Sus scrofa: one gene and its partner. The protein of the gene in region 1 purifies or fractionates together with the protein of each later gene. This does not show direct contact. Links are inferred from orthologs where the notes say so. Each region holds a gene or a part of one and is shown in the gene's direction. Other genes may lie near its edges. The genes, in order: TRIB3 and RFWD2.

The links.
Region 2: the proteins of TRIB3 (region 1) and RFWD2 purify together in Homo sapiens (affinity purification with mass spectrometry; 5 studies listed by BioGRID and IntAct, counting the BioPlex papers as one, with this or other methods). This does not show direct contact. The link is inferred for Sus scrofa from reciprocal best matches to the Homo sapiens genes TRIB3 and COP1.

What each region holds. Positions count from the first base shown.
Region 1 is NC_010459.5:34,809,442-34,813,260, reverse strand, and holds part of TRIB3 (tribbles homolog 3), read left to right. Parts: intron 1-160; coding exon 161-453; intron 454-2,691; coding exon 2,692-3,187; 3' UTR 3,188-3,819. UniProt on the Homo sapiens protein: Inactive protein kinase which acts as a regulator of the integrated stress response (ISR), a process for adaptation to various stress. Inhibits the transcriptional activity of DDIT3/CHOP and is involved in DDIT3/CHOP-dependent cell death during ER stress.
Region 2 is NC_010451.4:118,016,729-118,020,547, reverse strand, and holds part of RFWD2 (E3 ubiquitin-protein ligase RFWD2), read left to right. Parts: intron 1-1,598; coding exon 1,599-1,713; intron 1,714-3,819. UniProt on the Homo sapiens protein: E3 ubiquitin-protein ligase that mediates ubiquitination and subsequent proteasomal degradation of target proteins.

The sequences.
Region 1 (3,819 bases):
CCAGCTCTGCCCTTTGCGGGCTGCTTGGCCCTCCTTGGTCAGAGTTGAGTGAAGTGAGGCTGCAGCGCTCAGCACAGGGCACCGTGGTGTCCCCAAGGCTGGCCTGCCCCCCACCCACCCCGTTGTCCCCACCTGTGTTCACGCCTTGCTCGGTCCACAGGTATACCCGGCCTGCGAGGCCCTGGCGGTGCTGGAGCCCTATTCGCGACTGCCCCGCCACCCGCACGTGGCCCGGCCGTCGGAGGTCCTGGCGGGCACGCGGCAGCTCTACGCCTTCTTCCCGCGGCCACACGGGGACATGCACAGCCTGGTGCGCCTCCGGCGTCGCCTGCCCGAGCCGGAGGCCGCCGCGCTCTTCCGCCAGATGGCCTCCGCCCTGGCGCACTGCCACCAGCACGGGCTCGTCCTGCGGGACCTCAAGCTGCGGCGCTTCGTCTTTAGCGACCGGGACAGGTGAGTGTGGCCACAGAGAAAGCCTCTCAGTGTGGACTTGACTGATGTTCTGGTCATGGTTAGACGGAGGTGATGCACTTGGGGCAAGAACATGGCAGAAGCCATAAGGCCTCCTCGGCCCACTGCACCTGGAGATACAAGAAGCTGATACCCATCTCTGTGACAGAACCTCAATCTCTAGTTAAGGTGTGGAGTTTCTCCCCTTGGAAGTTTCCTCATTTACTTCCTAATTACAAGCAATGAATTACTGGCTTGAGGTACATGGAGGCTTTGCTTGTGGATGGATATTCTATTTCTCCTCAAACTTTCACTCACTCATTTCAGTGCCGTCCATTCTGTCTGTAGCAGTTATTCACATGATGTCTAAGGGTGGTTTTCTATTTCCTTCTACATTTCATACAGAAATGAACATGTTTTTAGTAAGAAGTAAAATGTAAATTTTATAACGATGTTTAAGCTAATAATACTCAGCTTCAGGTAATTTTGAGTTTAGGGTAAGTTCAATGCCCCAGACTTCCCAGAAGTGAGCGAAGTGCTTTCTGGAGTTCTTGTTGTGGCTGCGGTAACAAATCTGACTCATGTCCATAAGGATGTGGGTTCGATCCCTTGGCCTCACTCAATGGGTTAAGGATCTGGCGTTGCTGTGAGCTGTGGTACCAGATGCAGCTGGGCCCCTCATTGCTGTGACTGTGGGTAGACCAGCAGCTGTAGCTCCTATTAGACCCCTAGCCTTGGAAACTGCATATGCTGCGGGTGTGGCCCTTAAAAAAAGTGCTTTCTTCTCTTTTCAAGGCAATAGTTTGAGAAGCACCATTGGTAAATGAGGGACAGTGGAGTCAGACAGACCTGGGTTCAAATTCTGTTTCTCCCTTTTTTTTTTTTTTTTTTTTTTTGGCCAAGCCTGCTGCATGTGCAAGTTCTGGGACCAGAGACAGAACAGAATTGAGCCACAGCCGTGACAACTGCCGGATCTTTACCCACTGCACCACCAGAAAACTCCTGGTTCTATTTTTTAACTTGCTCTTTGGCCTTGAGCAATGGCTTCACTGGCCTGAGCCTTGATCTCTTTATCTGTAAAATGAGCCAATAATACTGACACCTCAGCCCACCCTCTGTGCGGTGAGTCACAGGACTGGTCAGCGTTTTCAGACAGGCACCCAGGAAGTGGTGTCATAGGAATAAGATTAATAGCAGTGGTAATAGAATGCTGACTCTTAAAGTAGTCTAGAGTGCTCTGTGGGAGCTGTTTTAAGTAGAAGTTGCAAATGGGGACTATACACACTTTTTTTTTTTCACCTACATTTTTGTTTGTGTTTTTAATTGAAGTTGGTTGCCCACTTTTTAAAAACTGAGATTTTTGTCATTAAAAATGATTCTGGGCTTCTCTTGAGGCAAAATGGGACCCCAGAGCTACTGTGGGAACCATGTGAGTGGCTCATAGCACTGGCTCTGGGTGGGTGAGAGTGAGGTTCACATCCCAGCCCTGCTTCCTGTGGCTGCAAAATGGCATCGTCTTCAGAGGTTGTATGAGCGTGAAATGAGATGAGCCAGGTACCAGCTTAGCCCAGGGTCAGGTACACAATGGACACTCCAAATATTGGCCGAATGCTGTTAGCAGGGCCTTTTAGGTAGGATTTATGTTGAGGTGTTTGACACAATCTCCATATCCTATTTTTCTCATTTTGTCACCTGCCTTGACCCTAAGTTTGCCTCTGGTTTAAGAAGGGCTTAATGCCCTCAGCCCCCTCAGCGCCCCTGCCCCAGGGACTATTGGGAAATGTGTTCCTCCCAGAGTCCCTGTTCAAATGTAATTGCTCCATGACTTTGAGAAATGACTTAACTTCTCAGAGCTTAGACTTCCTCATCAGTAAAATGGGATCAATGACACAGCCTCACAGGACTGGCTCAATCAATCTGGCAAATGCCAGAAGGCATTTGGGAGGTAGATGCCATTAAGGGTGCCAGGGTAGGGAGTTCCCATAGTGGCTCAGCGGGTTAAGAATCCAACTAGGATCCATGAGGATGCAGGTTCGATCCCTGGCCTGGCTCAGTGGGTTAAGGATCCAGCGTTGCTGTCGCTAGGTCAGCAGCTGCAGCTCCCATTTGACCCTTAGCCTGGCAATTTCCATATGCCATGGGTACAGCCCTAAAAAAGAAAACAATAAGGGGGTGACAGTGTGGGGTGGTGGCATGATGGTCCCTTTAGCGAACCCCTCTGCTTCTCCCCTTGCTTTTTAGGACAAAGCTAATGCTGGAGAACCTGGACGACGCCTGTGTGTTGACGGGGCCTGACGACTCCCTGTGGGACAAGCACGCGTGCCCTGCCTACGTGGGCCCCGAGATCCTCAGTTCCCGGGCATCCTACTCAGGCAAGGCGGCGGACGTCTGGAGCCTGGGTGTGGCGCTCTTCACCATGCTGGCCGGCCACTACCCTTTCCAGGACTCAGAGCCTGTCCTGCTCTTTGGCAAGATCCGCCGTGGGGCCTTCGCCCTGCCTGAGGGCCTCTCAGCTCCTGCCCGCTGCCTGGTCCGCTGCCTCCTCCGTCGGGAGCCCGCTGAACGGCTCACGGCCCCGGGCATCCTGCTGCACCCTTGGCTGCGGCAGAATGCGGTCCCCACGGCTCCCTCAAGCTCTCGCCTCCGGGAGGCTGACCAGGTGGTCCCCGAAGGGCCGGGACTGGAGGAGGCGGAGGAGGCGGAAGAGGCAGAAAGAGATGTGGGTCTCTATGGCTAACTAACGCACAGACTCTCAGCCGCACTCGGCGGGTTGGGTTTGGGGTATCTCCACGCTCTCTCCCGCCTCTTTGAACCGAGCTGAACCTTAAGTGCCTTCTGGGAGGGAGAGAGAGGAGGTGTGCACGGAGCGTGCCAGATGCACAACCCATGGTTCTGCACACCTGTGCCGTTGAGCTCGTGCCTCGCTGGGTCCTCTTTGGGTGCTCACTGTGCCAAGCCGTGATTTGGGTACTGGAAACACAGAGAATGACAGAGACAGAACTCCAGCCTGCAGAGTGGACAACACTTTCCATGTCCAGGGGTCAGTGTCTATACACTGTGGGTGGCTCCCTCAGTGCAGGTGTCAGCATCCACTCGTGCTGGTGCCCAGGCACCTCTGACCTGGGACAGTCCCTTTCACAAACAACCCAGCTGCCTTTGTATCTCGCACCTCCTTAGAGAAAGGGAAGCATCACTGTGCCAAAGGCTCCAGGCCTCTCTCCCATAACTCAGGACCCTAGAGCTCAGACTATGCTAGGAATTGTGCTCCCAGCAGCTCTGTCCTCTTGGTCAAGGGATTCTCCATCCAGACCTGAGCCAAGAGTTTAGGCTGGAAGGTCAAGAGTATAAACTGCGAGGCTGGACCTCATC
Region 2 (3,819 bases), on another chromosome or scaffold:
GGTGATAATCTTTGTTTTCATTCACATGAAAAAATATTTTGCTCATGTTACTTCAGGATAGTTTTTTGGGATCTGAATTTTAGATTGGGGTTATTTTAACTTTTTAAGAATAACCAAAATTTACTCTGTTCTAGCTTCTCTCTTTGCTTTTGAGAAGTTTTTTGCCTTTTTTAAGTGTTTCTGTTGGATGAGGTATCTTTTCTCTTTGATTTTAAAATCTACCTGTTTTGGACAAAAACAGTTTTTCTTTAGGGTAGCTAGCTCATTGTGGATTTCTTTTTAATTATCCTTCTTGACAGAAATAATTTCTATGTCTCTGTCAATGTATGTTTTCAGTTTTGGAAAATTGTCAGCATCAACTCTTCAGATACATTCATTTTGGTTAATTCTTTCAGATTTATCTTTCAATTTACAAATTCTCTTTTTATTCTCCAATTCTAGTACTTGTTCTTTTGTAGGTATTTGTCCCCAAATTAGATTATCCTCTCCTTCTTCCTCTCTCTCTATTTTTTGCAGTTGAATCTGCTTGTCCTTCAATTTAATTCAAGAATTTCCTTCTTTCTCTTTCTACTCTGTTATATCTTGTTTACTGTCACCTCTCTGAGTGCAGTTTACTGTTTGGCTGTTTATCTCTTTGGAATTTGACTCTTTTTCTTGTGATCCAAGCACTTCTTTAAAATATAATTCTTATTGTCTACTCTTAGAAGGAGTTTACTTTAGATAAATGTTTTATCTGTGTTACTACTATTAAGTTACTTTTTAATTAATTCAATGAATATTTAGGTAGTAACTGAAATATTATTTGTTAATTAAGAAGCAACTTAATATTTCTTAATGCATCTTAATACATTTTCAGTTGTGGTATGATTATTGTTAACTTGTGTCATCTCAGGGTCTCATTATATTTCTTATTTCTTCATCTGTTAATGTGCCTCAAGCGTAATAGGTGATAACCAAGCAAAGTAGGTAATAACCATTTGTGGAAGAATTGGCATACCTTTTAGTTAGCATGGAGTTGGTATTATATATTTAGGATCATAGACTTTTGTTCTTTATATGATTTTTATGCCAATGTATTTCAGATTTGTTGTTGCTATCAATATATATATATATGTATGATTTATTCTATTCTAATGTATATGTCAAACTTAGTACATATTAATGGCCCCTTAACCTAATAATATTAAGTACCTATTCTGTACAGTCAAGTGCTGTTCCTCTTATTCAAAAGGTATAGGGCTGCAATATAAGGAGATGAAAAAGTAATTAGTTTTCTCTTGGTAATTGTTTTCTAACAATTACTAAAAATTAAAATTCTCAAAATCCTAAGTTTTAGAATGTCATAATGGATTCTATCTTCATTTAATTTCGAGAATTGAAAGAAGCTTCTTATATTATTCTTATAAAATTGGGCTGTTTTTCCTTTAAAATAAGAATTGGAAAATATGTCTAATCACTATTGAGTTTTTAACAATTTGTAATTATTTTAGTGTGAACTTTTCAAATTACCAAAAATATGCAAGCATTTGGATATTCTGTGATGAAAGACAGTATGAATTATTCTAAGTTACAAGTGTCTTTTCTTGTTATCACCTTAGACAAAGAAACAGCCCTGGTATAACAGCACATTAGCATCAAGACGAAAACGACTCACTGCTCATTTTGAAGACTTAGAGCAATGTTACTTTTCTACAAGGATGTCTCGTATCTCAGGTACACATTCAGGACTTCTTAAGATATCTCAATTCCTATTTCCATATCCATATCTAGCCTCTTATGCTGGATTTATGGAAAGTTCTATTCGTAAAGTAAAAGTGTGCATTTTTGACATTGTGGAAGTTTTTAGACATCTTGGAGAACATTGCTTTTCCATAACTCTTTATTCTTTATTTGGGAATTTTTAATCTTTATATGGCAAGCTGAGTAAACTTAAAAAACAAATCAGCCATGAAGAGGTAGCTAGCAAAAATAAGTTCAATTCAGTTGCCTCCTATTATTCAACATATGTTAAATTCTAAGTATTGTCCTCTGTGCCAAGAATAAAAAAAGAGGAAAGAACTGGTATTGTCAAGGAGTATTGTAAATTTAGTGGGGGAAAGCAACAGGTAAATAAATCTATGTGATATTACATGTTATATAAGTGTGCAGAGGGCCCTAAGGGAATAGAGAAGAATATCTGCTATTATAACAGGGAGTGAAAAAACCAGGCCAAGCTGTAGACAGTGAAATGTAAGAGAGTGATTATGATTACTGTAGGGATTTCAGAGAAGTTGTATTTAGTCAGGGCTAGTATAACCTTAAAAAAGATAATTGGAAGCATACTCAAAGTAGAGGAAATAACTTACAAAAAGATTTGTACGTGATAGCGTATAATATTTTTGTTGCTACAGAAAAGTAGTATATTTCTGTGCCCTTTTGTTCTCTAATCTTTAGCCTTTCTTGGTGTCTTTGCTCACAAAGGAGGTAGGGCCATTTATACCCATCCTCCAGGGTTTTTTTTTTTTTTTTTTTTTTTTTTTTGATGGACTGTAGATGATGCATATAAAATACAATGCTTAGTATAATTTAGATTCTCAATTAATTGATGTCATTCATAGTAGACCTGCTTAAAATGAGGATGACCAAAGGAAAAAGATGTCTGATATTTTTTATTAATTGTTAAAAATTTGGCCTTGGTTTTCTCTTTAATAGGCATGTTTGTATCATGATCTTCACATTGCTTGTCACTTTTGGACAAATTTGCCTCAGGATTGGAGGTGGAGGAAAAAACATATAGATTTGCATAGTATTTTTCCTGTGAAGACTAGGAAGAAGCCAAGCTGTCTCTAAGTGTGTTTGAAATTAATAGTCAGTGGCTTTCCTACAAATAGAAAGCTTCTTTGTATTGTCTGAGAATTAAACCCCTTCTTAAACTTCTCTAATGGTCTGTAGTCTATGGTAGGAAGCTGTTAAATTGAAAGTGGTCTGAGACCTACATTCTGACCGGCAGAAAGTCCACAGTAGCCCTTTCAGATGTTGTTTGTCAGTATGATGTTGAGATACAACCACAGGCGAATGGCAGACATTTTTTTAAAAAAGAGAACGAGGTGGGAGAGAGGTTGGAGTAGGCTATTGATTAATAATTTTTAAATAATGAGCATAATTAATGCTCTGGGAGAGTAAAGATTAAGTGTGAACCAATTTAATTTATTTTGGGGATATAGCTTTATAGGAAGGTAAAGTTAAAACCAGGAGGAAGATTAGATTTTTATTTTTGTAGACAAGGCTGTATTGTACTTAAAACATGTTATCTTTAGTTTTTAGTCATCTCAAACTTAATCAGATATGCACATTGACTACACTAATCATATTACTGAAGTTCCCCCTAGTGTCCTTGACTATAAGGATAAAATTTAAATTTTTACGTAATGGGGTACCTAAGAGTTTGTCCTTTTGTATGTATGTTTTCAAATGAGAATCCAGTCCCCATCCCCAACTTTAAGTTTTAGCTATTAAAATGAGAGACGGAGACTAATAAATTAATGCCTTGATCTCTTAATTGTAATTGAAAAAGAAGCTAAATTATAAAGCATTAGAAGAGAGAAAAGAGACAGTGAAAACGGTTTTACAAACTAATCTGTAATTAGAATAGGAGAGGTGATAGGCCAGCATGTGATGTATGGGTATTGATCATAAACCAACCAACCAAACAAAATCCTACCTTTTCACAACCAGATAAATAAAAGTTAATCCCTATACTTTCAGATACTGAAATAACTATTTTTAGTGTTTTTATAATTTCTTTTAGAAGTAGATGTTAAATGAGTGGGTATGATGGCA